5 linked regions of the Ovis aries genome follow. The protein of the gene in region 1 binds, or shares a complex with, the protein of each later gene. Links are inferred from orthologs where the notes say so. Each region holds a gene or a part of one and is shown on either strand. Other genes may lie near its edges. The genes, in order: IRF2BP2, IRF2, VGLL4, BANP and ZBTB16.

What was found.
Region 2: the proteins of IRF2BP2 (region 1) and IRF2 are in contact, whole or in part, in a crystal structure (PDB 8YTG), measured with the Homo sapiens proteins. The link is inferred for Ovis aries from reciprocal best matches to the Homo sapiens genes IRF2BP2 and IRF2. Residues at the interface, in NP_892017.2 of Homo sapiens: His517, Phe518, Val519, Gln520, Pro522, Phe531, Leu557, Trp564, Ala565, Phe566, Met567, Glu570, Thr573, Ile574; in NP_002190.2 of Homo sapiens: Arg331, Ala332, Ser333, Val334, Ile335, Lys336.
Region 3: the proteins of IRF2BP2 (region 1) and VGLL4 are in contact, whole or in part, in a crystal structure (PDB 8YTF), measured with the Homo sapiens proteins. The link is inferred for Ovis aries from reciprocal best matches to the Homo sapiens genes IRF2BP2 and VGLL4. Residues at the interface, in NP_892017.2 of Homo sapiens: Thr516, His517, Phe518, Val519, Gln520, Pro522, Phe531, Leu557, Trp564, Ala565, Phe566, Met567, Glu570, Thr573, Ile574; in NP_055482.2 of Homo sapiens: Arg161, Ser163, Val164, Ile165, Thr166.
Region 4: IRF2BP2 (region 1) and BANP share a complex: the UniProt entries of both Homo sapiens proteins name them as parts of the corepressor complex. The link is inferred for Ovis aries from reciprocal best matches to the Homo sapiens genes IRF2BP2 and BANP.
Region 5: the proteins of IRF2BP2 (region 1) and ZBTB16 are in contact, whole or in part, in a crystal structure (PDB 8YTH), measured with the Homo sapiens proteins. The link is inferred for Ovis aries from reciprocal best matches to the Homo sapiens genes IRF2BP2 and ZBTB16. Residues at the interface, in NP_892017.2 of Homo sapiens: Thr516, His517, Phe518, Val519, Gln520, Pro522, Phe531, Leu557, Trp564, Ala565, Phe566, Met567, Glu570, Thr573, Ile574; in NP_001018011.1 of Homo sapiens: Arg285, Ser287, Val288, Ile289, Thr290, Ser291.

The regions. Positions count from the first base shown.
Region 1 is NC_056078.1:6,782,064-6,788,251, reverse strand, and holds the start of IRF2BP2 (interferon regulatory factor 2-binding protein 2), read left to right. Parts: upstream 1-2,260; 5' UTR 2,261-2,965; coding exon 2,966-4,016; intron 4,017-4,618; coding exon 4,619-5,334; 3' UTR 5,335-6,188. UniProt on the Homo sapiens protein: Acts as a transcriptional corepressor in a IRF2-dependent manner; this repression is not mediated by histone deacetylase activities. Represses the NFAT1-dependent transactivation of NFAT-responsive promoters.
Region 2 is NC_056079.1:14,058,304-14,063,845, reverse strand, and holds part of IRF2 (interferon regulatory factor 2), read left to right. Parts: intron 1-1,236; coding exon 1,237-1,401; intron 1,402-2,960; coding exon of another isoform or gene 2,961-3,061; exon of another isoform or gene 3,062-5,542. UniProt on the Homo sapiens protein: Specifically binds to the upstream regulatory region of type I IFN and IFN-inducible MHC class I genes (the interferon consensus sequence (ICS)) and represses those genes. Also acts as an activator for several genes including H4 and IL7.
Region 3 is NC_056072.1:55,573,675-55,579,216, reverse strand, and holds part of VGLL4 (transcription cofactor vestigial-like protein 4), read left to right. Parts: 5' UTR 1-3,062; coding exon 3,063-3,246; intron 3,247-4,023; coding exon 4,024-4,218; exon of another isoform or gene 4,219-5,542. UniProt on the Homo sapiens protein: May act as a specific coactivator for the mammalian TEFs.
Region 4 is NC_056067.1:12,964,151-12,969,692, forward strand, and holds part of BANP (protein BANP), read left to right. Parts: intron 1-1,505; coding exon 1,506-1,622; intron 1,623-2,851; coding exon 2,852-3,027; intron 3,028-5,542. UniProt on the Homo sapiens protein: Controls V(D)J recombination during T-cell development by repressing T-cell receptor (TCR) beta enhancer function. Binds to scaffold/matrix attachment region beta (S/MARbeta), an ATC-rich DNA sequence located upstream of the TCR beta enhancer.
Region 5 is NC_056068.1:24,302,072-24,308,151, reverse strand, and holds the start of ZBTB16 (zinc finger and BTB domain-containing protein 16), read right to left. Parts: upstream 3,921-6,080; 5' UTR 3,678-3,920; exon of another isoform or gene 3,410-3,677; intron 3,032-3,409; exon of another isoform or gene 2,973-3,031; intron 363-2,972; 5' UTR 273-362; coding exon 1-272. UniProt on the Homo sapiens protein: Acts as a transcriptional repressor. Transcriptional repression may be mediated through recruitment of histone deacetylases to target promoters. May play a role in myeloid maturation and in the development and/or maintenance of other differentiated tissues.

The sequences.
Region 1 (6,188 bases):
CTTGATTCCGGATCCTTTTATGGCAAGAGAAACCAGAACTAAAACAAACCTTTCCATCTTCCAGTGGGCATTTCGTTAGGGAAGTTACAACAACTTGAAGTTTCAACACTAAACTGGTAGTGTAAAATAAAAAGGAAATGCTCTTCATTTGGAGAAGAAAAGCTCTGTTCCATAAAAACCCTGACTTAGTACCCCTCAAGGCAGAATTTGGAGCTCAGTGTTTCTATTTTGGGATAGAGCGACAGGCTGTCCCACGAGGATATTACAGTGCCTGCCTGCTTGCAGGTAAATGAGTAAAATTAGGCCGTGGCTGTAACCCCGAGTTGTTTCCTTTTAATATTTCCACCCCAACCTACTGAGGCCACTTCTTGGGGGTATTGAGATGGCTCATCTCTCTACAGCACAGAGCCTGGGTCTTATTCCCTTTGGTTAGTGCCCTAGTGGCTTAAGTTACATGCTAGGAGAGGCTCTGGGTCTCCTAGGAGAGTGACAGGTCCTGAAAACGGTGCATGATAGCAGGGACCAGGTGTGGCCAAATCCACCAGTTGCTGGGGATCGGGGTCCTATCCTCCCAGTTAGAAAAGGGTGAGGCAGGATTGTAATTGCAGGGCAAGATCCGGGAGCAGTTGGGGAGACCTTTATGGAGGCGCACCTTCTCTGGAAATCCCCACAAGACATTCAGGCTTTGCCTGCAAAAACATTTAGCTCTGGCATTACATTTTCTGTGCCATTTTCGAACAGATTTTCTCATGTGCTTTAAGCAGCTCCCTCCACTGTTTCTCTAAGGGTGTTTTTCCTCTTCCCTGTGGTTAATTCTTTGAGGCAACCTGGCATTTTCAATAGCAACAACTAGAGAGAAACGTCAGCAGGATTTTTTTCTCTCTCCACCTACCAATCCAGTTGTAGGGAAGATAATATAATTAGTACCCTGTTCTTCCCACACTTAACCAGCTCATTCCAGTCTCAGGGAGAGAGGTGGGCCTGTTTTCCAACAAAGGAAGCTCGGGAGGCCGCCCTTCCAGAGCTGAAGTGTAAAGGTCCCAACTGAGAGTGACTAAGCCCGCGTCTATTAGTCAGAAAGACTAACGACCAGCCAAAAGTGATTTACCATAACACACGCCAGCTCCTCCTCCCGATAAAAGTGTGAAACTCAAGTGCTCAATTCAGTCTGGGCACAGCCTGTGGCTGCCAACGGTGGCAGAACGCGGCGAGACTGGCTGGCTCTGCACCCACATGTCGCCTTCGCGCCAGGCGGGTTTGCACCCACCTAACCCCATCCTGGGCGGTGTGGTGGGCTCGAGGTCGGCCCTGCCCACCCAGCGGGGCCGGGAATGGCTGAGATCTGCCGGGTCCGCGTGACCCGCAGGCCAGCCTGCCGCTCACCCCCAAGCGCGCGCGGACCCCACCGCCGCTCGTGCCCATGCCCCGCGCCACCTGGAGTCCAAGTTTGGCCCCGTGAACGGGGCCTGGAGGCCTAGAGTCGCCGGCGGGGGGGCGGAGCCTGCGCGGTGACGCGGCCTCTTTGGCCGCTGACCCCGGATCCCTGGAATGTGCATTCGTTCAATGGAGCCGCCAGTGCCAGCGGCGCCGAGTCACGTCTGCGCGGAGCGTGCGCACTCGGCGGCGGCGGCGCACGCGGCCCGCGGCCCCGCGCCCACGTCACGCGGCTGCCGCGCGAACCTGCGCCAGGTGGCCGGGACCCCCGCGCTGTAGCGAGGGCCGGCCGGGAGGGAGCGCGGGGTGCATTGCGCGGTGCTGCCGCTCCCTCCCGGAAGGGCTCCGAGAAGCGGCGGGTGGACTCGATCCTAGGCCTGAGAGCACGCCCTCTTTTAGTAAAACTTCAGGGGACCGGCGGCGCCTGTGTCCTCCCCAAGACCATGCGAGTGTAAAAGCGCTTGCCGAAGAGTTCAAATAAAGCTCCTTAAAAGATGTTTAAAAACGGACAGAACCAAGTTACAAAGTGGCCTTGCTTTTCAAAACACGAGTTTTACACGGTTTGCTCTAAACGGATCTGGAGGAGAGGGAACTCGGCTCGAGTGGTCGAGGCAGCGGAGCGGGTGCAGGGAAACAAGCTGCGCCAGCCACGCGTTCACGTCGGGGACACAGGGCGCGGCGCGGACGGGAGGGCGGGCACAGAGGAGCCGGCTCTCCCAGCAGCGCCCGTTCTGCGGCGGGGGGAGGGGGCGGGGGGGGGGGGGCGCGCGCGCGAGGGGAGGGGGCCCGCGCAGGCGCCTTGCGAGGCTGTCGAAGAATCAAGTCTGTAGAAGTGGAGCGGCCGCGGCGGCAGCAGCAGCAGCGACGGCGGCGGCGGAGCTGAGGCGGGCTGGGCGCTGACGCGGGCGCTGGAGAGCGGCGACGCCAGGAGCTGTGAGAGAGCAGCGGAGCGACCCGGGGTCCGCGCCGCGTCCGAGCTCCGCGCCGCCCGGCCGCCGCCGCCGCCGCCGCCGCCGCCCCGGCGCGGCATGCCCCGCCGCTCGGGCTGAGCCTGCCCCGGCGGCCGCCCCCCGCCCCCCGCCCCCCCAACCTCCCCGCCCCCCGCCCCGCACTCCGCGCCAGCTGCCGCCGCGACCTGCTGCGCTCCCCCGCGTCCGCGCGGCCCGTCTTCGCCCCGGTCTGGAGGCCAGCCGCGGCTCCAGCCGAGCCCCCGCCGCCGCCGCCGCGCCCGCCGCGCCGCGCCGCCCCGCCGCCCGCCCGAGCCCGCGCCGGCCGGGGGGACGTGCTGCCGCGGCTGCAGCCCCTCGCCCCGCGCCCGCCGCCCCTCGTGCATCGGGGGCGCTGCGCGGGCGCCGAGCCTTCGCGGGCTTTGCCGCCGCCGCCGCCGCCTCTGCGGCCGCCGCCGCCGCTGGTGGGGGAGACGCGGGGTTGGGGGGGGAGGAGGGCGCGCGTGGTGCCGGCGGGTAGCGGCGGCGCCCCCTCCTCCTCCGCCTCCTCCTCCTCCTCCTCCGGCGCCGCGGGCTCCTCGGACATGGCCGCGGCTGTGGCGGTGGCCGCCGCGTCTCGGCGGCAGTCGTGCTACCTGTGTGACCTGCCCCGCATGCCCTGGGCCATGATCTGGGACTTCACCGAGCCCGTGTGCCGCGGCTGCGTCAACTACGAGGGCGCCGACCGCGTCGAGTTCGTCATCGAGACGGCGCGGCAGCTCAAGCGGGCGCACGGCTGCTTCCCGGAGGGCCGCTCCCCGCCCGGCGCCGCGGCCCCGGCCGCCGCTAAGCCGCCGCCGCTCTCGGCCAAGGACCTTCTCCTGCAGCAGCAGCAGCAGCTCGGCCACGGCGGCCCTGAGGCCGCCCCGCGCGCTCCTCAGGCCTTGGAGCGCTACCCTCTGGCGGCCGCCGCAGCCGAGCGGCCCCCGCGCCTGGGCTCCGACTTCGGCGGCAGCCGCCCGGCCGCCGCCCTGGCCCAGCCGCCGACGCCGCAGCCGCCGCCTGTGAACGGCATCCTGGTGCCCAACGGTTTCTCCAAGCTGGAGGAGCCGCCGGAGCTGAACCGCCAGAGCCCGAACCCGCGGCGCGGCCACGCCGTGCCGCCCACCCTGGTGCCGCTCATGAACGGCTCGGCCACACCACTGCCCGCCGCGCTTGGCCTGGGCGGCCGTGCCGCCGCCTCGCTGGCCGCCGTGTCCGGGGCCGCGGCCGCCGGCCTGGGCTCGGCGCAGCCCGCCGAGATGGGCGCCCACAAGCGGCCGGCGTCCGTGTCGAGCAGCGCGGCCGCGGAGCACGAGCAGCGCGAGGCGGCGGCCAAGGAGAAGCAGCCGCCGGCGGCCTCGCACCGCGGCCCGGCCGACAGCTTGTCCACCGCGGCCGGGGCGGCCGAGCTGGGCAGCGAGGGCGCAGGCAAAGGCCGCGGGCCGGGCGAGCAGGACTGGGTCAACCGGCCCAAGACCGTGCGAGACACGCTGCTGGCGCTGCACCAGCACGGCCACTCGGCGCCCTTCGAGAGCAAGTTTAAGAAGGAGCCGGCCCTGACTGCAGGCAGGTTGTTGGGTTTCGAGGCCAACGGGGCCAACGGGTCTAAAGCAGGTAGGGGCGGCTGTGGAGTGAGGGGGTTTAGGGGCGAAGCGGGGCTTGAGAGCCGAGGAGGGGGTGCTCTTCCTATTGGCCGTTCTCCCCCGGCCCAGAAATAGCAAACATCCAACTTCCTGATCTGCTCGAGGCGGAACCAGTGCTTAGTGGCAACGTGTTCCTCTGCTGAAGCAGCATAACAGAGATGAGTCAGATGGACCGATAGGCAGCGACACAGGGCTTTCCTTTCCCAGCACATTCCTGGATGCGAGCATGAGGGCACCAGTCACCTTTTAACCTGAGGGTGGGTGGGGGGGGGGGGGGATTGGGGGGCGTTAACTCTCATGTGCACAGGGCAGCCTGGGTACTTGCAGGCCTGTGGAAGAACAGGCAGTGCTTTCCGTGCCTTTTTTTTTTTTTTTTTTTAACTGCTAGACTGCCTCAGAGCCTTCTCAGTCTAAGTGGTTTAAGTTGCACGTGCTCTTGAAACTTGGTTTTTCTGTACCAACTTTGGAGAATAGAAATTCTTCAGAGGGTTGTGTTGTGTGTTAGTGAAAGAAAGATCCTTTTTAGTGCACGTTCATTTATTCTTTTCCCCTTTTCTATCTTTGTTCTTCCAGTTGCAAGAACAGCAAGGAAAAGGAAGCCTTCTCCTGAGCCAGAAGGTGAAGTCGGGCCCCCTAAGATCAATGGAGAGGCCCAGCCGTGGCTGTCTACATCCACAGAAGGGCTCAAGATCCCCATCACTCCTGCATCCTCTTTTGTGTCGCCACCACCACCCACTGCCTCACCTCATTCCAACCGGACCACACCGCCTGAAGCGGCCCAGAACGGCCAGTCCCCCATGGCAGCCCTGATCTTGGTAGCAGACAATGCAGGGGGCAGTCATGCCTCGAAAGATGCCAACCAGGTGCACTCCACCACCAGACGGAACAGCAGCAGTCCACCCTCTCCGTCCTCTATGAACCAAAGAAGGCTGGGCCCCCGAGAGGTGGGGGGCCCAGGGGCAGGCGGCGCCGGAGGACTGGAGCCAGTGCACCCCGCCAGCCTCCCAGACTCCTCCCTGGCCGCCAGCGCCCCGCTGTGCTGCACCCTCTGCCATGAGCGGCTGGAGGACACCCACTTTGTGCAGTGCCCTTCTGTTCCTTCGCACAAGTTCTGCTTCCCCTGCTCCAGACAAAGCATCAAACAGCAGGGAGCTAGTGGAGAGGTCTATTGTCCCAGTGGGGAAAAATGCCCTCTTGTGGGCTCCAATGTCCCCTGGGCCTTCATGCAAGGGGAGATTGCAACCATCCTTGCTGGAGATGTGAAAGTGAAAAAGGAGAGAGACTCGTGACTTTCCGGTTTCAGAAAAACCCAATGATTAATCTTAACTAAAACTGCTTGAATTGTATATATATCTCCACATATATATATATCCAAGACAAGGGAAATGTAGACTTCATAAACATGGCTGTATAATTTTGATTTTTTTGAATACATGTGTTTCTATTTTTTTTTTTGACGACAAAAGGTATGTACTTATAAAAGCATTTTCTTCTTTTGTTAATGTTATTAGCATATCTCTGTGCTTTATTATCCTGGTGACAGTTACCGTTCAATGTAGGCTGTGACTTGCGCTGCTTTTTTAGAGCACTTGGCAAAGCAGAAACGCTTCTAGCTGTATTTGTATGCACTTATTTTAAAAAGAAAAAAAAAAGCCAAATACATTTTCTGACATTGTAAGATTGCCTTACTGTCTGTTGTTATTTACTGCTGGCCCGTTTCTCAGGCTGGAGGCCAATTGGTGGAGAAGGAAAGGAAATGAGGAAAGGGGCAGTGTTGTGAAGTGGGCATGCCACTGAGAAATGTCACCAAGTTCCCCCCAAACATTGCCCTTTCAGAGTAACAGGAAATCGATTGTGAATCTTTCTCGATTTTGTTCTTAAAGTTCAGTTGTTAGGTTATTGATGACTGCCTGAGAGTTGCTGCTGAGAGATTTTCAGGACTGTGGGGGGGGGTTTATTTGGGGGGGGGTGATTTTTTTTTTTTTTTTAAGGCAGAGTTGACCACTGTTCACTGCCCATGTGATCAGTTGTAAGATGACAATGCTGCATGCTAGTTGGTTACGTAATACACAATCCAGTGACTCAAGACAGTGATAACGGTTGTCGGTGGGGACAAGATGGCACTGCCATCTTTGCATGGAGC
Region 2 (5,542 bases), on another chromosome or scaffold:
ACAAGTCCTTCAGTGGGTGAATAAAAACAGACCATGGTACATCCACATCATGGAATATTACTCAACAGTGTGAAGTAACCAACTACTGATAAACACAACAACTTGGATGAATCTCCAGGGAATTATGCTGAGTGAAAACAGCCCATCTCAAAAGGTTACTGTGTGAGTTCATCTGTGAGGCATGCTTGAAACGACAAAAATTACAGAAACGGGAAACACATGAGCGGATGTCAGGGGTTAGAAACAAGCGGAGGAGGCTGAAGGACGGTGGATAACGGTTATAGAAGATGCTTGTGGTGATTAGACTGTTGGGTGTTTTGACTGTGGTGGTGGCTATATGAAACCACGTGTGTAATGAAATTGCCAGAACTAAGTATACACACAAACACACACAAAGGGGTACAAGTGAAACAAGGAAATCTGAACAAGACGCATGATTATCAGTGTCAATATCCTGATACCGTATGATAGTTTTATCAGGTGTTACCTTTGGAGGACACATGGCAAAGGGTGTGCAGGATCTCCGTATTATCTCTCAACTGCACGTGACTCTCCAGTGATCTCAAACTGAAAAGCTTGATTTAAAAAAAGATTGAGGCAGGATTCAGAGCCAAGGTGGTCATCCTGTCAAGTGTCTTGAGGAGCTGATGCTGCGAAGGTGTGTTAGAACTGGGAAGGCAGTCTTTTCAGTCGTTCCGATATGACATCCTTTGCCTGCAGAGGAGGAGGAGGGCGGAGAGTATGAACAGAGCATCCCACAGCTAGACATGACACAATAGGGTGGATTTTGGTGGTCCTTCCACTTTATTAAAGTTTGATGAGCTCTCTGGACCCCAGGACCCAGAAACTAGCACAGCAGCTTCCTTTAGAGGAGGAGCAGAGAAGAGAAACGGGTCAGGTTCGAAGCAGTGTTCCCTCTTGCACCCTGGGGTAGGTCTGGATGCGGCCCCTGCTCCTGCAGCCTTGGCCCTGGGCAGGTTGAGTTTGGGGTGCTGCCACACGTGAGCACCGTTGGCAGGGCTATTTCAGCCTTGGGGAGCCAGGTTATTGGCAAGCTGCTTCTCCAGGGACATTAACCCAAAGCGAAGGCTTGTTCTTATTTCATGGCAGATGACATTTGATAACTGGGACTCCAGCTCCTGGGCTCTCTCGGGGGAGGTTTTCTTGCTTGAGAGTGCGTGCCAGGATGGTGTAGGCTGGGGATGGTGGCACATGATGGCCGTCTTTTCTTTAAAGTTGTAGGACAGTCACATCTGGACGGCACCTATGAGGATCAAGAGATTGTCACTAACCCACCGGACATCTGCCAAGTTGTGGAGGTGACCACCGAGAGCGATGAGCAGCCAGTCAGCATGAGTGAGCTCTACCCCCTGCAGATCTCCCCCGTGTCTTCCTACGCAGGTAAGGAGGTGGGTGGGTCAGAATCTCTGCCACTGAACAAGGAACAAGGCAGGGAGGTCCTTTAGTCTAACACATTTTGCCAGCACAGCAGAGAACCTCTCCTCCGTCCTAAGGATTACTCTGGCTGGAATTACTCTGGCTTTAATGTTCTCAAGCAACATTTTCTTAGACACTTGTTCACAGTACCACGTCTTGGTCACATTTCACTTGATCGCCCATAACATATTCACACATGACTTATAAATTAGAAGATTTCTTTGGGGGGGAAGTATGTTCGATTTTACAGATGTTATAGAAAGATGTTTCAGAAAAACCTGAACGAAAGTTTTGGCCAGTGTAACAGTTCATCTGTGTCTGTTTTATTTGTACACATTATCAGAAATTTGGAAGGGTGTTTTTCATGGGATCTGAGTTTGTCCCACCTGGGTAGGACCTTAGGGATCACCTCTTGCAGTTCCTTCATCGGAAGTGAAGGGAAGTGAAGGGATTGCTCCAGGCCAGTAAGTGTTTGGGTCAGAACTTGAACTGAATCTGCAGACCCCACGTTCCATTCTCTCGTTCTGCCAAGTTTCCTTGTCATCTCCACATAGGTTCCACTTCTTCAGTTTAGCAGAGCTTCTCATTGGGCATTTTGAACTCTCTAGGGAATGTCCCCAGACTGGCAGAAATTGGCCCCGATGTCACAGTGTTAGGACCAGATTCAGCGGGCTCTCCCATCCTTAGAGGATAAAGTGGTGGCTCCCTTCCTCCACCAATATTACGTCTTACGTCCTCCTTCTGATGATCTCCACTTGACTTTTTGGGACTCGGTTATAATTATGAAATGTAAGGTCTGAGTCAGGGTTATTCCTTGCAGATACTACAGGTAAAAAGTGGATGTCCTCTGATGGATAACCACAGTCGCTCAGGTCAGGAATTCTTCCCAGGGCTCTTTATGTCCTGCCAGTAGCCTGTCCTTCAGTCTGGGCACCACCCCAGTGACTGGCACAGAGTCGGCTTCAGAATTAGGTGGATTCATGTGACACATTGTTTGTACATTAGCAGCCCCTAAATTAACCTTCTGCTTCCTGAACCCCAACTTGCTTCCATGTCAACTTAATTTTTTTCAATTGTGGTGAAATATCCGTAGTATAACATTTACCACTTTAGCCTTTTTGTTATGATTTTTTTTTGGCCATGCTCTGTGCCATGTGGGATCTTGGTTCCTCGCGGAGGGATGAACCCATGCCCCCTGCTGTGGGAGCGAGAAGTCGTAACCACTGGACGGCCAGGGAGGTCCCCCCACTTCAGCCATTTTTAAGTGCACGTTTCAGCGGCATTCAGTGCCTTCACAGTGTTGTGCAAGGAGCACCCCGTCCATCTCTAGAACTCTTCCACTTTGCAAAACTGAAATTTCGTGCCTGACATACAGTAACTCCCCATCCCCTGCCCCCCGACCCAGCCCCTTGGCAGTCCCCCTTCTACTTTCTGTCTCTCTGCATTTGGCTACTCTATGTACCTCATATAAGTGCAATCATACAGTATTGGTTCATTTGTGACTGGCTTATTTCACTTCGCAGAATGTCCTCAAGGTCCTGACTTTCTTTTGTGCTGCAAACATAAAAGGAAAGTGAGAAGCAACCTTGGCTACAAGAGGCCTATAATCTGCCAAACAGGCTAAGCTTGTCATCAGTTATTTATTCATGAAACATATTTTGAACTCCTGTGTGTACTAGTCCCTGTAATAGAAACTGTAACGATACTGTTTGTTGCGTGTTCGTTGTGCCCTGGAAACTATGCTAAGTGCTTGATGTTGACTGGCTTATTTAATTGTCAGGAGAATAACCCTGGGTACTGTCATTATTATGTCTTTAAAAATTAAGTATCTAAGGCTGCTGGGGTGAAGCAGTGTGTCCAGAGATGGACAACCTGTTGCACAGTGGGACCCACGCGTGGCTGATACTGTTCTTAGCCCTTGCACTGCCATGCTGCCCTGCAGGAACTCGAGGGGCTCTGCCATTCAGAGCAGTCCACATGCCAGGATCTCAAGGGCCAACCAGAGGAGGCAGAGCCAAGTGTTTTTGCCCTGATTTTACAGTGGAGATAACTGAAACCTGAAACTCTCAGCCACTTTGCTTTTGTTTCCCTGACCATGGCTGAAAATGTGTGACTTGGTGTCTCATGCACTGTAGGCATTATTACATCGTTTTTTGTTTGTTTGTTTGTTTTGTTTTTAAAGGGGTTAGTGCTTTAGAATCAACTTTTCTATTTATCTGTTGAGTAAGAGTTTTCTGAAGTGTTCTTGGGGATTCTGGAAGGGCCTCTTCTTGCTGTTCTGCCAGCAGTAGCATTTTGCCTTCGCAGAAGAATCCCAAGAACAGCTGATTCATGCAGAGAGAAATGAAAATGTCACTACCCTTTTCAGGACATTTGCAAGATTTGAAAAGAAGGATTTTAGTGCCAGGCTGGCAGGCAGCGGGGGTTTGCTCAGAGCCTGGTGTTTCAGCCTGGCCTTTATTTCTTTCCATTGTTTTCATTGTCTGAATTCTCCAGAACCCTTTGCAGGGAGGCTTATTGGATAGAGCCAAGGTAAGTCATCACTACTACTTTTCTAGAACCCAGGACACACCAGAAACTTACCTGTTCCTGACCATGGGTAGCTAAAATCTTTCAGTCAGGAATTCCATAGCTTGCTGCTAGGAAAGACAGCTTCTTGGTTGTGTTCCTTTTTAAAGTTTATGGTCTCCACAAAAAAATAGGCTGTTTGCCTGTTTTTCATGACAGGGTCCCTTTGTTTGGACTATTCAAGTGAATTTCAGCCTCCTCTAACCACTTTCATTCATTTAGGAAACTGGTATTTGGAGGCAGTTGTTTGCTATTTTTTTCCTTCTTACTGATCATTGAAATAGAATCCCAGTAGTATTACAAAAACCACATTCATTGTTGCAAGTCAGTCTTCTCCGTGGTCTAAATGTGATGTTGAGCAAAAAAAGGGACAGTTTCTTTGAGTGGACGTACTTGCGCTGTGGGCTTCCCTGGTGGCTCAGTGGTAAGTAGTCTGCCTGTAGTACAGGAGACGTGGGTTCAACCCGTGGGTTGGGAAGAGACCCTACAGGAGGAAATGGCAACCCTTTTCAGTATTCTTGCCTGGGAAATCCCATGGACAGAGGAACCTGGTGGACTGCAGTCCATGGAGTCACAAAAGAGTCGAACATGACTTAACTACTGAACACGCACACTTGCATTATGTTGTTTGAAGACAACGTGAAATTTTAGTTGGATTCATGAAAATTTATTCTGGGACCGGACGTCCCAAAGCCCAACCTTGGGAAACTCTAGAGAAGAGTCCTTTTTATTTTTAAAGATTCCGGTGTGTGAACAGGGATTATTTATTATGTTGTTGGTGGTTTAGTAAGAGAAATCACATTAGTATTGGGGGAAAGGCTGGATGAGAGGATGGAGAAGAAGGCAGAAGACAAAGGATTGATTTGTGATAACTGAGAGAAGGGAGACCAGCCACCAGCAGAAAAGACTTTGGGCCCTTCAGGAAACTGGAGCAGGCTTGTGTTTGTTGGGTACAGCAAAAAGAAAAGTGCTTTAAGAGGACTCAAGTTCGAAGAACTTGCCTGGTGGTCCAGTGGTTAAGAATCTGCCTTCTAATGCATGGGATGCAAGTTTGATCCCTGGTTGGGGAACTAAGATTCCACATGCTGTGGAGCAACTAAGCTGTGTGCTGCAACTGGAGAGAAGCCTGCATCCCGTAACAAAGGATCCCACACACCACAGCAGCCAAATACAGAAATAAATATATATATATATATTTTAAAAGAGGGCTCTGATTTGAACCTTTTCATTGAGACTTGTAGTGAAAGTCATGGAGGAAGTGATCGAGGGAAAAGAATCCTTGTCAATCTTACTAATAAAACTTGTTGAACAACTCTTCCAGAAAATGTACCAAGATGTCATTGTGCAAAAGGGCTGTGACTGAAGACATGTTGTCTCCTTCCAAATCATGTTCCTAAGAAGGTCTGGCAATAAAAACTGGGCTAAGGGGACTCCCCTAGTGGTCCATTGGTTAAGACTACGTGCTTCCCCTGCAGGGGACATGGGTTTGATCCCTGGTCAGGGAACTAAGATCCTGCATGCCAGGCCACACAGCCAA
Region 3 (5,542 bases), on another chromosome or scaffold:
GAACATTAAAAGTATCCACTGGCATAACAGAAACGTGGATGTAGAAGATGAATTAGACTTTGTCAGACCAACCTGTGGAACTTAACATACAGGGTTATACTGTCTTTTTTTTTTTTTTCCATTCGTATATCCATAAGCCAGAAACCAGCGTGGCTCGCTGGCTTTTTCACTTTTAGTTTCTCAACATTTAAAGAAATCCAGGTCAGCATGAGTGCTGGGGGAATGATTCAGGAACACGATGAGGGCAGCCTTTTTGGAAGGGTCAGGTGAAGGCACTAGTTAAAACACTGTCCAGTTCTCTGCACTTCGCATGAAAGGTCCCTTGAGCGGGCCTCCTCTTCCCCGTTGTGTGTGTGTGAACATTGGAGCCCTCCACCCCCGTGTGCATGACTGCCCCGTCCCCTGGCTCAGTTGTGCCCATCGCGGTGTCTTCAGACCCCCCCTATCTGTGTCACCTCTTCCAGTGGCCCCCCCCCCCAGTTGTCGGCCATGCGATCTGAACTCTGCCCGTGCTCAGAGCCCGGCATTATCTGACCCACTGATCTCCATAGCCTTACCTCTTAACCAACAGATGCAACAAGCCCTTTCTTCTACTTAGATGGACCTCTCACACACAGGACACCATTCCTGCTCTCGGCCTTTATTCCCACAGCTGTCCCCAACTGGAATGCCCATTTCCATAGTTTCCAAGTGTCGAAATTCTACCTGTTTTTCGAATTCCACTCCTGAGTATATTTATTAGAGCTAGAATTGATGTCTTCCTCATATGACGTGTCCATAGCTTCTCAGTTTTTCTTTTTAACCTGTAATGAGTGTATTTTTATCTTCAAATTACTATTTGAAAACTTCCTCCATTTCACTTCCTAATATGGTGATTGTTGACAGAAGCTTTGTAGCAGAAGTCCTCTGTGGTCCTCAGCAGTTTGGGGGGGGGGTAACAGTTTTATTGAGATACGATTCGTATGCCACACCACTCCTTCGTGTCAAGAGCATCTCTATTCTTTCTGCTTTTAGTTCTTCCTTACCTGTTATTTATCTCCGTGACTTATCGCTCCTGTGAGAACTGCTGTTCCTTGAGGCAAAGATCAGATCTCAAACATCTTTGTGTTTCCCTTAGTGGGGCATAGTTCTTGCTCTGAACATGGCAGGCACGAAAGCTCTTTCAAAAGAACCACGGTTCTTCCTTTCTTCTGCCAGTTCTCAATCCCATACCTTCTTTAGGAGGGGCTGGATTCTAAACCGCTTCGCAATTAGAAGCTCCAGTACTTGGGCCACCAGATGGGAAGAGCCCGCTCACTGGAAAGAGATGCTTGAAAGGTTGAGGGCAAGAGAACGGGGCAGCAGAGCATGAGATGTTGTGTTGGAGAGTCCCTTGGACTGCAAGGAGATCCAGCCAGTCCATCCTAAAGGAAATCAGCCCTGAATGTTCACTGGAAGGACTGATGTTGAAGCTTGAAACTCCAATACTTTGGCCACCTGATGCAAAGGACCGACTCATTGGAAAAGACCCTGATGCTGGGAAAGATTGAAGGCGGGAGGAAAAGGGGATGACAGAGGGTGAGATGGATGGATGACATCACTGACTCGATGGACATGAGTTTGGGTAGACTCCGGGAGGTGGTGATGGACAGGGAGGCCTGGCTTGCTGTGGTTCATGGGGTGGCAGAGTCACACGACTGAGCGACTGAACTGAACTGAAGGAGATTGAGCATGACAAGATGTGTTGAGGTGCTTCAGTCGTGTCCGACTCTTTGTGACCCCATGGACTATAACCCTCCAGACTCCTCTGTCCATGGGATTCTCCAGGCAAGAATACTGGAGTGGATTGCCCTTTCCTTCTCCAGGGGATCTTCCCAAGCCAGGGATCAAACCCACATCGCCTGTGTGTCTCCTGCATCGGCAGGCAGGTTCTTGACCACTGAGCCACCTGGGAAACCCGACGGGATGCTCACACCCATGTTACTCTGAAAGGTTACTTTTTTTAGGGTAGAGAAATTCTGTGAGCATCACCCTAAGCAAGCAGTGGAGCTTACTGTCACCCGAGGTGGTACGCTGAGGCATCAGGTGCCTCCCGTGTGAGGCCACATGCTGGGCACACCTCCTCTCGTTTCCCTGCCGAAAACGTTCACCTTGAATCGAATCACGGGGAAATCATCAGACCACCAGAAACTGTAGGGCAGTTCATTGGCCTGGATCCCCCGGAGGAGGAAATGGCAACGTGCTCCAGTATTGTTGCCTGGGAAACCCCATGGACAGAGAGCCTGGAGGGAGACAGTCCATGGGATCACAAAGATGGCCACGACTGCGCACTCACACACTCATTTAAAGATATCATTTAAAAAAAAACACAGAAGAGGAAGAAAGACAGAAAAAGTCCCTGGGAAACTAGAGACTCGGCAGCTCTGTCACCCAGGGTCTTGATTGGATCCTGGATTCTGTCTGCTTCATCCCCCTGCTTTTCTGAGACAGTCCAGTTGGGGAAATTTGAATCTGGACTGGATATTAGATAACGACATTATGCCAGCTTTAGCTTTCTTGGGTGTGATGATGGTTCTGTGTCTGTGAAGGAGACTCTTCTCGCTCTGAGAAGACAGTTGAAGTGCTTGCAGTATGATGTCTGCAAGTTACCTTGCAAATTAGAGCAATTATAGTAAAAAAAAAAAGCTGGATATGTGTAGACAGACAAAATGAATCAAGGTAAGGGGAATAGGATATTCACTTTTCATTACAGTTCCAGTAGCTTTAAAATTATTTTGACACAAAGAGTTGGAGAAAATAGAATTATGCCCTTGGGCACTTGGATCTTTGAGTGACAATGCTGACAAAGATCTTCCTTTAAATTGCTTATTTTACCGGTCTTCACGGGGATTGGGCGCTTAGATCACATGGGTGCCTGAGATCCCCGTGCTGCGCTCACCCTCGGCATCGTGGAGTCTTTGAACTCTGTGTCCTGTTTTAATCCTTGGAAAATTCACTCTGGCTCCTGAACCCAGCCTGTGGAGCAACGATAAGGAATCGGGTGGATTGCCGCCTCTGTGCGGACAGCAGAAGGGCTTTCTGAGATGCTGGACTTGGGGTGTCTGCCACACCCCAGCGACTTGCAGGCTTCCGCGGTGGCGGGGGTTCGGAGCTGGCGTGAGATCCCGTGTTGGGGTAGGCGGGCCCAGCCTGGCCTTCAGGAGTGCGGACGGCAGTTCGCGTGTGAATTCTGCATTGGTTCCTGGGAGCCTCGTCGTCTTCCTTCAGGTCTGGACTAGAACATATATATTTCTGGGAACCAGACTGTACCTGTTTGCCTCTCGAGAGACTATAGCAAACACGATGGTGTTGATCAAAATATCTGTAGTTTGGGAGCTTCCACCGGGCCGTTTTACAAGAGATGCTTCTGGGGCAGCAGGCCACGTTGGGGTTGGGCTTGGAAAGTGGAGGTGGCTGCGCTGGTCACAAGGAATTCTGAGCGCATTCTGGGGGAGCAGGGAAGGTGTCCAGAACCAGCGAGGGTGTGGAAAGTGTGCCTGGGGCTTGGAGGGGCACTGGAGCTCTGGGCGCTGTGCCAACTTTCCCGTGTCTCAACTTTCCTTGAGACAGGCCGGGGCTGCTGTGTGGGTTTATGTCTTTTTAACACACGTGGCGGCAGTCCAGGCAGTCAGGTAGCTGCCCCGAGATGGCCTGCCGCCTCCCGGTGGTCAGGTGGGGCCCCTCCCTGACCCATCTTCTGGGGCGATGATCTGCTGTTAGTTGGCGGGACACGGCTCACCCGCTGACCTCTGGCCAACAGAGCGGGAGTGACCCTGGAGAAGTCCCCTTTCGTCCTCTCTGTGGGAGTCGTAGCAAAGGATGAAATGGAACAGGTGGCTGTTCTGGGCTGGAAACTTCCTGCAAATTTCCACTGATGCTCACTGTGATCTCCCACGGTAGCTGAGGACAGAGGTGCGAGAGAGGTGGAGAGACTTGGCCGAGGTCACACCTGTCTGCTAATTTATTCATTTCTCAAGTGTGTGTTTATTTCTTTGGGCGCACCAGGTCCTTGGCTTCGGCGTGCGGGAGCCTCGATCTTTGCTGTCACGCGGGGTCTTCAGTCGCAGCCTGTGAACTCTTACTGTCTCACGTGGGATCCAGTTCCCCGACCAGGGATCGAACCCCGGCCCCCTTCATTTGGAGCATGGAGTCTTAGCCACTGGACCACCGGGGAAGTCCCAAGATCACACCTTTTGAAAGGTTGCACTCCATTTATACTTATTTTAAAATAGGCCATCAGTTCTCATGCAAATTAAGTGGGAGAGGAACCTTCAAGTTCTCATATAATCGAGTAGATTGCAAACTGATTTGGAAGAGTATTGATCTTTGGAGATAAAGTTTAAAATTTTTTTTTGATTGGTTTATTTATTTGAAGTATAATTGCTTTACAGTGTAGCCACACGGTTATTTTAAATGATGTAAAACCTGCTAGGTAAATGAACAGCAACATAGGAATGCAAACATAGCAGTTTTTAAAAATTTACTTAAAAATATTTTCAGGGCTTCCCTGGTGGCTCAGACAGTAGAAGAATGCCTGCAAGGCAGGAGGTCCTGGGTCGGGATGGTCTCCTGGAGAAGGGAATGGCTACCCACTCCAGTATTCTTGCCGGGAGAATTCCTTGGACAGAGGAGCCTGTTGGGCTACAGTCCATGGGTCACAGAGTTGGATGTGGCTGAGCGACTAACACTATTTTCAATTAGTGCCTCTTTATTTGGGGGGCGGGCGTTGCTGCGATGGGTCTCTGTTGCGGGACCCGGGCTTTCCCTAGTTGCAGCGCGCGGGGTGAGACTCTGTTGTGCTTGGGGTTCTCGTGGCTTGCTGCCGAGCACAGGCTCTGGGACACGTGGGCTCAGTAGTTGGGGTGCATGGGCTTAGTTGCCCTGCCACTATGTGGGGTCTTCCTGGACCAGGGGTTGAGCCCATGTCCGCTGGATTGGCAGGCAGATTCTCATCTACTGTACCACCAGGGAAATCCCAGTTAGTGCTTTTTGATATCAGGTGGTTATTTCTCTTTACCTTACTAAAGCGTCCGAGGGTATATTTAGAATGGATATTTAGGAATTACAGAATTCTTGTCCTTTCTGTGGGATTTTCTTTCTGCCCCTTCTCCTCTTGCCTCTGAAGAATGACAGATGTTTGAAACCATTGGAAGCTGTCTGCACTGTCTACCCCTGCCAACAGTCAGAGTGAGCCCCCCGCCCCGCCCCCGGCTGCATCTCTGGGACCCTCCCCTATACTTGTGCTTTTCAGAGAGAGCCTTGCTCTCCCCTTTGCGAATATTCTTGCTGAGACACAGCTCAGGCTGTGTCTGCACTTTTCCAGGTCACGAGCCAGGAAGTCCTCTTGCTTTCTGCTCAGCCACCTGGCCCCTCCCCTCTCAGGCAGGCTCTAATCTGGAAGTGGCCTCAAGGAGTTATGCTGCTCGCATCTTGACCGGTCCCACTAGGGATAGGTCAGTTGGGATAGACCAAGTGTTGGAAGCGGTTCTGTCCCAGAGCTGTTCTGTCTTTGCAGCAGAGTCAG
Region 4 (5,542 bases), on another chromosome or scaffold:
AGGGCGCTTCCTATCTCACGTCTGGGTGGACAGGGCTTCTTGGTGTGGTTGAGGGGAGGCTTTGTGAGAGGGAGCAACCACGTTGGCCAGAGGTGCTGTCCTAGGGGTCATCTTTAGGACGCCGTACCTTCTGGAAGGAGGGCCTCAGGGGGTTGAGTCACTGAGGGCCCTGCACACCTACGGAGCCAGGTGCCCCTGGGCTGCCTCTGCTCCAGCTTGAAGCGGTTGCCTCAGACTAGTGTTCCCTCTACCTTGAGGTCTTGTGGGAAGCAGAGGCCCGTTTAGTAAACGATTCTACCAGACATTGGTGTGAGCCTGTTTTAACCTGTTGTTTGTGGCTCACCTCTCAGCCCGTGAAAGGGCTCACACGCCACTGGGGTGAGGAGATGGGTGTCTCTGTGTGGGGACCTGGGTGACAGCAGCCTTCCGGGAACACACTTGGGAAAATCCCATCTCCTGTTAGGACACATGCGTTGCTGAGGCCGTCACATAGGAGCCCGTACATGTCACCTCGGTACCTGGCCACCTATGATGCTGACCTGTGGGTGGGTTGTCAGGGCCTGGGGGATTACCTGGGTGTCACTGACAACTGAGTAGAATAACTGAGAAGATGGTAACGGCTGTGAATGGAGCACAGTGACTGTGGTTTATTTTAGGAAAACACCCCATGGTCCTGTGATTCATTGCGTCAAGTGGCAGGAAATGGCACCATCTGTACCTCTGATTTTGGGAGTGTTGACAGTATGTGTCTGGGACTGTGGGGTGGGGTTCTCATGGATGCTTTGGGGTATGTGAGTGCTCCGCCTGTAAAAACAGGGTCTTCCCAGCGCTGATCTTTTGGGGTGAGGTCTAGGGATGTCTTTCTTCCCGGGTGACATAGCTGTGCATCCTGACCACCTGTTCTTTCTGCACAAGGCGTGGCCAGAAGCACCGAGGATTGGAGGTCTCAGGAGCAAGAAGTCTCGACGACTGTGTCTCCCACGTGTTTAAACACACATTTCCCCTGAGGAACAGCCCCTGTCAGGGCACAGTTCTTTGAGCACGATTTTCTTCAAAGCACAGTCTCCAGCCTTGGGCTGTGGGTCCTGCACTGGCCTGGCAGAACCCTGTGGTCAGTGCTGTGCAGTCACCCGTGGCCCCTGCTACAAAGGTTTGTCCCTTTGCGCACAGCACTCTCACCTGGCAAGGGACTGAAAGCCTAGATTTCAGAAGGGAATTCCCTGACTGTAGAGTGACAGCTGTGACACCTGTCTCTTCTCCGTAAAGATGTGAACGTTCCTAAGCCACTTCTCCTGCTGGTACCAACTAGGAGCAGGCTTAGACTCTGTTAAGAAGCCCCCACCGCCCCAGCTGGCCCTCTGCCGGTGTTGCTCATGTACGTCGGGAGCCCTGCTGGGCCTCCCCTGCTTGGAGCAGGGCAGGGGCGCTGACTGTTGATGACTCTGCTCTCCATGAACGCTGTCGTGTTAAGGTCTTCTTTTCTCTGTGATTCTTTTGTTCCCTAGCGTCGTCCCCCAGACTACAGTAATTCTCAACAGTGATCGGCAGAACGCCGTTGTAGCCAAGATGGAAGACCCCCTGAGCGGCAGGGCACCGGAGCCCCTGGAAAATGTCATTAGCAAGTCAGTAGCACGACCCCCACCTCTCACCACCACTGCCGGGCCCCGGGGACGGGGCGGCGTCCAGGTCGCCCGTGTCTTCGGGCCCTGTGTGCTCACTGTGGTCCGCGCGCCCTGTCCTCTCACCTCACTCCCATCTGTCTGTCTGTCTGTCCGAGCATGTCGGGTCGGCGGACACCCCGTCTCATTGGCAAAGTGGTGGAGGCATGTAGAGGTGGTGCCTTCTCCACTCCTTTCTCTGGAGACGCTTTGGCTGTAACCTGAAGCTGAGGCGAGGGTGCGTGGCGGGCATCTTTGCCCCTCATGTACAGGGCCCCCCCTCCCCGTGGCATTGGCCCCGCCATGCTGCTTCCCAGCGAGTCTCGCAGGCCCTCCTGCAGCAGTCCTGCTGCTTCCTTGTGGCCCAGGCCCCCAGGAGCCCGGCCAAGGGAGGTGGGTGCAGACACGGGGCCAAGGCCACAGAGCAGACAGCCCATGAGACGGGCCTGGCGAGGGTGGCGGTCATGGCAGGTCCAGAGCATTTAGTGAGGTCCAGCCCCGGGATGGAGCCCCGACCCCCACCCCCGGGATGGAGCCCCCTCGAGCAGGGACCTCTCACTGCTTCCCCTCCCTGGGTGCAGCCGTCTCTTGAAGGAAGTCGAAGGGTCACATGTCTCCAGATAAATTTTTTTTTTATTTTGAGCATGTTTTGGAGCTGTGGTGGTCTGGTTTCCTGGCGGTGTCTCACTGCTCCACATCAGGGTCCCTTGTGGTGGTGAGAGGGTCCCCCAGGAGGCTCTTGACTGGCTTTGTTAGCCCGCTCGAGCGGCTTCTGTCAGCGGGGGACAGTTGGGAGCAAGAGCTGCGTCCTCCCGGGCCATCTTGTTCAGAATGTCCCGGGACGGAGCAGTTCGGGGCTGTCATCTGAGTCTGCAGACGCTTTCCCAGAAGTCTCTATGACCCCGACAGCAGTGCTGTGCAGGGCCCGCTCCGTGATGGGAGGCCCGGCCTCAAGTCACAGCCTGTTGCGATTTCACTTCTTTAAACGTTTCAAGTTTCGTGCAGTTTCTTGGAGCCGCAGACTGCTTCCTGCTGTTACCGTGAGCAGGAAGAGCTGCGGGAAGGCTGGTGGCGCGGCGCGCGTGCCGGGATACGCCTCTCTGGGATGCGAGGGGGAGCGTGCGTGCAGAACTGTCTCCGCGTGCTGCCATGCGTGCTCTCACCACGCTGCTGGTGTCTCTGTTTCCGCGCAGCGCGGTGCCCGGGCGTCGGCAGAACACCATCGTGGTGAAGGTGCCGGGTCAGGAGGACAGCCACAATGAGGATGGGGAGAGCGGGTCTGAGGCCAGCGACTCCGTCTCCAACTGCGGGCAGTCAGGAAGCCAGAACATCGGCAACAACGTCACCCTCATCACCCTGAACTCGGAAGGTGCGTCCTCTCCACACGTGAGGTAACGGGTGTGCAGTGGCCCTTGAACAGCATGGGCTGGAGCCGCAGGGCCCATGACACGTGGACTGCTCACTGGCGACCACGGAGAGGGATGACTGGCAGTGATGTGTGAATTTCTGACCACGTGGAGAGTGAAATGCCCACAGGGCTCAGGCTTTTTCCCCCCCGTTGTTTAGAAAAGTAATAGATATTTATTGCTTTTGAAAGATGATAAAATATAAAAATGACGAAGGAAGTGAGAATAACTGGAAACATTTCTGGCCCAGAGAGCTCTACAAATCACATGCTGTATTTACCATCCTATAACTTGCTTCTCCTCACTGCATGGTAGAAATCTCTCCATGTTAATACTGATTTACATAATCGTTTTCAATCAGTTTCACTAGCTGAATCTGGTTCTGGTGATGGGCAGTTGTGACTTGATAGCTGGTGGTCGGCTCACCTGTCTTACCACAGCTCTGTCCTGTGTCTCTGACAAGGGTCAGGCTTCCATTCAGAGGGACTGTGTGTCCAGGTCGAGGCCATGCTGGGAGCTGTGCCGCCCCTGCCCAATGTGATGTAGGGGGACCGTCCTCTCTCCTGTGGGGTCTGGGGTCCACTGTCACTTGGCCCTGGGTCTGGGAGGTGGCCTGGTTGTGCTCCAGAGAGTTCCTGCCGCCTGGCAGCTCTATCCTGCTCTCGAAGGTTGAGTTAATGTTTCCCAAACAGGCCTTATGACAGCGCCTGGAAAGAGATGTGATTACTCGGCAGATGTAGCATCGTGTCACCAAGTTCTTAAGTTGTAGTTTGTTAACTAGAGAGGGCTAGTGGGGTGTTTCTGCTCCTCTGTCCAAATTGTTGATTTTTTCCTAAAAGTGTAGATTTTTCTACAGACAAAGATTGTCCCATTTGAAAGACTTGTTACCACATTAAAATGTTGAAAACAAAGTTCTTTTTAACTCTAACAGAAGTTGCAGGATTGAGATGTCAGAGTGGGCACGGGCAGAAGGTTTCCATTCCATGAAACTGACCATCTTAAAGCAGACGTGCTGGCAGGCTTTAGTCCGTTCACAGAGTGCACAGCACCACCGTCTAAGTCCGGGGTGTTTTCCCCAGAGAGACCGCATGGCAGGACCCCGTGCCCCGTCCTCCGTCCCGCCGCCTCTGACCAGCCTCTTGTCTCGGGTTGCTGGTCGTGCAGGCTTCGCCTGAGGGAAGCACTGGCACCCTCCTGTGGCGCGCACCGGTGCTCCATTCTTCTTTTTGGCCGCATGACGGCCCATCACGGAGGCACGTGCTGTTTGTCCATCACCCGTCAGTGGGCACCGGGGCTGTGCCCACTTTCTGAGTGTCGTGAGCAGTGCTGCTTTGCACATCTGTGTGCAGGTTTTTGCGTGTGTTTTCATTTTTCTGGGGCTGATACCTGGGAGTGGAATTGCTGGGTCAGGGGTGCTACTCTATGACTTACTGAATGTGAGGAAGAGAGGTGCTCCTGACTTCATCCTGGTGGACGGCGAATGAAAATTACACTTGCAACAGCTGCAGAGAAAGTTCTTATTCTTCATCCATGTGGGTTTTGGGTAAATTAACCTCCCTAGATCTGGCTACTTACTTTAGACCTGATTTGTTTGGTTTAAATGGCATCGGCTCCAAACATGACATGGGGTCATTTGGGGGAGTCTGGGATTATCATAAAAACAGAAGATATTTTCTTTTGTTTCTTAATGTGGTATGATTAATGTGAGTCAGATGTGAATGTACATAAAAGAATCACAGTTTGAGCTTCTTAGTATTACTATCTATAGGGAAAAAGTACAGGTTTTCTGGGGGTCTGAGTAGGAGGTTACCACTGTCCTCTGGAAGGTCCCCCCGCAGTTGCAGTGTCCTGAGTGTCAGGTTGAGTGTCCTCGGTTGGCCTGGGGTTTGTGAAGACGGAGCAGAGATGGCGCGTGCGCCTAAGTGGCGAGGACGAGTCCTGTGGAGCTGCCACGGGCTGTCTGGTCAACATCTGAGCGATTCAGATGCCCTGAGCAGGGGATTAGCTGTTTCCCTGCCACACCCTCCCTGGACTGACCCGCCAGGCCTGGAGAGTGCCTATCGGAGAAGTGGCATTAGCTCATAGGCGCTGAGGGGCCAGAGTCCTCTTCCTTCTGATAAGAGCCCAGGGCTGCACTGGACATATGCTCTGATTTCTTACCAGAGTACTTCTGTGCCTCACTGCAGACAGCCACGGATTTTCATAATGGTTATTTCTTAGAAATCCCACGTGGTCTGTGTGGATTGGCATGCCGTGCTGTTCCCTGATAGATCTGGAGGTGTCAGGGGTCTCAGTTCAGTTCAGTTCAGTTCAGTCGCTCAGTCGTGTCCGACTCTTTGCGACCCCATGAATCACAGCACGCCAGGCCTCCCTGTTCATCACCATTTCCCGGAGTTCACTGAGACTCACATTCATCGAGTCTGTGATGCCATCCAGCCATCTCATCCTCAGTCGTCCCCTTCTCCTCCTGCCCCCAAT
Region 5 (6,080 bases), on another chromosome or scaffold:
GTGGCCGTGTATGCATACTCCAGAATCTGCTGGAAGGTCTTGGGAGACAGGAAGTCCAAAGTATAGTGCTGGCTGTTGCGGTGGAAGAGGATCTCAAACATCTTGCTGGTGCAGGCCAGCACAGTCCGGTGGGCGTGGAACTCCTGGCTGTCCACCATGATGACCACATCGCACAGCGTCCCGGCCAGCCGCATCTGGTTGGCCTTGCACAGGAGCCCCGTGGGGTGGCTAGGGTTCTGCAGCTGGATCATGCCCATCTTTGTCAGATCCATGGTGCTCCCCGAGGCTTAGGCATGAGGCTCTCTTTCCTTCCTGGCTCTGCGTGGCGGGGCAGGGTGCGTTTCCTGGGCCAATGGCAAGGGCTAGAGGGGAGAAATGAGGAAAGAGGCAAAAGAGATGCAAGAACAAAAGATAGATTAGTTACTGTCCCTAAAAGTAAGAATTCAATCAATAGCCCCTGCCCCAAACCTGCAGCAAGACAGTCCTGGAGATTTTAACAGGGGGGAAGGGCTTCCTAGAAATCTACATGACTGCCTTTACAGGCCCAAGAATGATGGGAGTAAAGAGAAGGTTCTGCTGTATAACACAGGCCTAATTCACTGGTCTATGACATCTGTTAGAAGAAGTAAAATGAAAATTACTGTGGAGTCTTGTGAGTCCTGAGCTTTAAATCTGAGCGTGGGGGGCTCCTGTGCAAAGTCAACATTGATTGTGAGAAGATGCCCAGTGCTTAACTTAAATGAGTAAGAATTTAACCCCCTCTTCTAGTCAGTGTAAGCACTCAACTTCACTTTCAACCCCCTGTGCAGCAAATCTCATCTTCAAAACAAAGTTTCTCTAAATCCTGCCTCATTGTGGTAGCCCCAGGAACAACACCTAGCCAAGCTGGGGCTAGCAGCCTAGAGTAGCAGCTCAAAGAAATCTACAGGCAAGGTTCTCCTCCTCCAGCCCACCTTTTCACTCTCAGTTAATGCCTTCCTGGGTTTCTACCCTTCCACTCTTCTCAGGGTTGCCAATGGCTGATGAACCCACGCCCTGACCCTCTCCTTAAGCCCTAAGAGAAATACACACACATAGTCTATGAACTAGCTTGGCTCACTCCCAATCATGGGTACCTCAAAGTGACTGTATAAGTAATCCAAAACCTCAGCTGTGTAGTGTGCATGTATGTGCGTGCACCAGCCAAAGAAACAGAAACAGTTAACACACGTGCGTGCGTGCATGCTCAGTCGTGTCCAACTCTTTGTGACCCCATGACTGTAGCCTGCCGGGCTCCTGACCACGGAGTTTTCCAGACAAGACTACTGGAGTGTGTTGCCATTTCCTCCTCCAGCGGATCTTCCCCACCCAGGGGTTGAACCCACGTCTCCTGCATCTCCTGCATTAACAGGTGATTCTTTACCACTGCACTACCTGGGAAGTCCCAAGCACACGTGTCCACACTTACATTACGTGCCACACTTATATAATGTGCTGCACTTATCTCCTGCCCACAAGTGCCCAGTAGTGAGGAGGACCTGTAATATGCAGGCTAGGGATTGAAGGGCCTACAGAGAGATCCTAGAAAACAGGTACCCCTAAAGCCAGGAGTGCATGTGCTGGGAACACAAACCCCCAGGATCTCCCACAGGCTCCCGGGAGTGGGCAAGTCCCATGACCCAAAGAGGAATTGATGCTGGACTGCTACACCTGGCTCCAAGGGGTGAGAGGTGATATTGGCACCAGCATCTATGGTGTGAGTTACCAGCATGAAGGGAAGATTGAGCTGGAGACAAAGGCCTCTCTCCAAGTGCTCTTTGCGATCAGTAACAGGGCTCTGGGTCTCCCAAACCTGTCTAAAGCGTGTCTGAAAGATCTCACAGGCCCAAGTCCCTCCCAGCCTCGGCCTTGCTGTGGCCAATATTGCTGTGAAATCAATTGGGAGCAACGCAGAGCAAGGGCTCTTCCTCTTGGAACACTGCTGGCCTCCGCCCCCAAAGGGAACCCTATTGACTCCAGGCCACAAATCTTACTTAGAAAGGGTTAACAGGGCAGTCAATCAAGAAGACACTTCTGCTCCCCACCCTGGGGTGAGAACGGAGGCCATGGGGGGGGGGGGGTGACCATTCACAAGCGCCTTGCCACCATGCGCTTTCCCCGCAGACTTTGGGTTTCAGAGAACTAGGAGGTAGGAATCGAAAGAATGGAAGCTAGTCTACCCGAATTCCTTCCCCAAAGCAAGCACCGTGGGTCCTGAAGGAAATCAGGGTGCCCTGATCAGCCGTCCCCGAAACCCGAGGCTCGGCGCCCGGGAGCCGGCTGGTGCTGGCTGCAGCGCCGTGCCCCTCGTCACGGCGGAAAGCCAGCGCTAACCAGCTCGAGCTCCGGGGATCGATCGCGCGCTCACACCTTCCCGCCCCTCACCCCCCACCCCGTTTCCAGCCACCCCCTCCGGAGACTTGGAGACGACTTCAGCAAACTTGGGGAAGCAACTTTTCCGGGGAAACCAGATGGCAACGAGAAAGGGAGCTGGGTTAGGAAAGAAGAAAAGCGAAAGAGACCCGGGCGAAAGGCAAGAGTTCAGGCGGGCCGAATGCTGGGGCGAGAGAGGCGAGAAGGCGGACTCGCCTTGAGGCGAAGGGGAAGCACAAAAGCCCGACGAGTTGTGGGAGGAAAGGCGAGAAGGGATCTGAGGGCCCTCTCTCTCCAACCCAGGGCGGGGATCCCCGCGAGCGGCGGACAAGGTCCCCGGCCTCGGGCGGGTGGCGCCAGCAGCAGGCGCGCCCGGCCCAGGCACGTTGCGAGCGTTCCGGGGAGCGGCCAGCGAGTCGGTGCTGAGCGCGTCTGTGCGTTCCAGCGGGTCCGCGGGCCGGCGAGATCGTGCGCATTTCGAGCGCGTGCGGGAGTGTTCGAGGGGCTGTGAGAGCGAGCTGCCGGCGCGCAGGGGTGGGAAAGGCATCCCGAACGCATCAGGTGCAGAGCGGAGCACCCACCGAGCGCGGCCGGGAGCGCACAGCGAGCTCCGGCGCCACAGCCGGTCCCGCCGAGAGCCGAGGAGGGCCCGGAGCGCTGGAGACACTCCAGCGCTCCACCACGGAGCCCCTCCCCCCCAAAACCGGGGGGATCAAGTCCAATCAAGAAAAAGGAGCCCACCACGTTTTCCAAAGAGAAACAAAACCCAAGTGACTCCCAGTCCGGCTCCCCTCCGCCCCCAAAACCACTCCTCCGATCCTAGCTTCCCAGCTGGCGGGAGAATAAACACACAAATAAACCACAGCCCTATCTCGCGCCCGCGCACCGGTCGGCATACATATGAGCACCCACAGGCTCCCGGCTCCTCCGCCGGCCCCTGGTGGTACAAAGCCTCCTATTCCCAGCCCTGCGCTTGTGACCCCCGGCCCCGCAGACCGCTCTGGCCCCCACTTCTCACCCCGACTGTGCCCTGGAGTGGAAAGGTTGGGGAGGCAACTGCGCCCAAGCTGACAGCCAGGGCTCCCCCTTCCAGCCGACCCCCAACCGCCGGCGGCGACGGCTGCAGCAGCAGGAAGGGAACAAGCCGAATAAAATAAGGCAGAAGCCCAGCGGTCGAGTGGCCGAAGCGAGCGCGCCCCCCCCCCCCCCCAGACCTCTCCAGCCCTGGGGTGCCTGGGCGCAGAGCTATCTCTGGGCAGTGCGCCTCTCCCTGGCCTCCAACTCACCGCTGCCGAGCCGGGTGCCGTGGGGTGGGTGTGCGTGCCTCTTGGGGGTGTGTGCCTCTGTCTGGGAGGGGTGTTGCTGGGGAACTGTTGCTCTCGGTATCACGGCGGTAGCGGCGGCATCGCCCGGCAGTTCGCAGTACCCGCTCTCATCGCCCTCAACTCCTCTGTGCTGCGAGGTTAGCAAATCACCACCGGCTGCGGCGCCTCCGCCGCGTCCCACGTCAACGCCGAGCCCCCTCCCCTGCGAGGCCCCGGCGCCTCTCCATCTTTAGTGCTGGCGGCCGAGCCCGGCTCCCTGCCCACAGCTGCCCCCCTTCCCTCCCCCCTCCCGCGCCGTTCCCCGGCTCAGCCCGCCCACCCCCCCGCACTGGCCGAGCCCGCGCGCGCTCTCCGCCCCACCCCTCCCCTCCCCTGCAGTCCCCCTCCCTTCCCCGCGCGCCGCGCGCCGGGCTTCGCCTGACATCTAGCTGCTGCTGGGGCGCTGGCGGCCGCCGCTCACCGGCCAGGCGGAGAGGAGAGGAGGAGCTCGTGGAGAGGCGCACCAGGGATTTGGGCGTCTCAGTGGGGGCAGTGGAGATGAGGGGCGAGGAGCTGCCCCCATCTTCAACCCCCAGAATTTTAATCTCCAGTGGGAACAGGTTTTGTGTTTCCCTGCTGCTTCCAGGCTCAGAATTTTGTTCTCCCAACGTTTGCCCCATGAGTGCGTGTCATCTCGCCTTTCACTTTTTTCTCGGGGCTCGGGACGGCACCCCTCGACCCCGCCGTCGTCTTTAGAAGCTCGTTTTCATGGTACCCAAGCCCAGCGCTTTGGGGCCTCCAGGCCTTCTGAGCATCCAGACTGCGATTCGCCTCCAGGCGCAGAGTTCGCGGGCCCAGGGGAACCGAGTGCCAGAGGCTCCCGCGGGGATCTGTCGTCGAGGGGAGACGCCCCCATTTTAGCTGTCGCGACCCCTGGAGGCCAAGATCGAGGCGCGAGGGAAACTTCTTGCCAGTCTTGAGCATCCGCTAAACTTCCCCCCCGCCCTTTGCGCCGCCGCCCCCCTTCCCCCCGCCCCCGGCCCCCAGGGAACCTTGGCTGGAAGCAATTCCGCAAGAACTGAGCTCAGTTCGGGACAAAGTCTTCAGGGGGCGGCGAGTGAGAGCCTGGAGAAGCTCCAGGCTCCCCAAAGTGCCTCCTCTCTGCTGATCGCTCCACTTTAGAGGGCGGAGCTGAGGTCAGGAATCCCTAGAGCAACCAGAAGACATGCGCCCTTCCGCGGGCTGCGGAGAGCCCCCATCTTCACCCTTTCCTTGGAACTTGGCGAAGGTGGTGGGCGAGAGGTGGAAAACGCCCTTCTTCTGGGCACACACCTTGACTTCCGGCTAGGGTGAGGGTAGTGGTGGAGAGCGCCCTCGCTGGGTCTCCAGACAGTCGTCCCTGGAGGTCATACAATCTTCGCAATGCGGGGCTTCAATCACGGAATCTGGAGTCCCCACCCTGTCCCTGACAAGGGGGTGGGTCAAAGGCTTCCCACCAGACACGCATGAGTGTATCCCGATGCGCCCTCTGGCACTGCCCCAAACCGAGGGTCAGGCCCCAAGAATTAAAGCGTCTTGGAAGATGGCAGAAGCCCGCTAGAGGCAAAAATCCACTTCCGGCCTGGCAAGGCCAGCTGGCCAGAGTTTCCATCAGAACTGAGCCGAGTTCACAAGAGCTGCTAACGGACCAGACCCGAGAACAGGCAGCTCCATCCCAGCAAGCCCGTCCTTGTCTCCTCGCAGGAAAAGTGCTCAGACCTGCCTGCAGGAGTCGGGGGAGAGAAGCCACTTGAAAGTGAAGAAAGGGAGTTAGTTACACCGCAGTGTCTGACGGATGCCAGGGAAAACCCAGTCCCTGGGTATTCTGATGAACAATAAAGAGCAGTCTATGATAGGGCTACTTTTCTAGCTAAGATCTACAGTCTGTAAGAGGAAAGAAATTTAAGGAAAGTTGAGAAAGAACTGGTGTGATAAACAACAAGGATTTACTGTGTCGTACAAATGGCTCAGAGGTTAAAGCATCTGCCTGGAATGCAGGAGACCCGGCTCGATCCCTGAGTTGGGAAGATCCCCTGGACAAGGAAATGGCAACCCACTCCAGTACTCTTGCCTGGAGAATCCCATGGAGGGAGGAGCCTGGCAGGCTACAGTCCATGGGGTCGCAAAGAGTCGGACTCGACTGAGTGACTTGAGGACGACGAGGACGACAGGACCACGAGGACGACAGGTAACTATAGGGGTTTCTGGTTGGCTCAGACCGGAAAGAATCTGCCTGCAGTGCAGGAGACCCAGGTTCAGTCCTGGGGTGGGGAAGGTCCCCTGGAGAAGGGAATGGCTCCCCACCCCAGTATCTTGCCTGGAGAATTCCATGGACAGAGGAGCCTG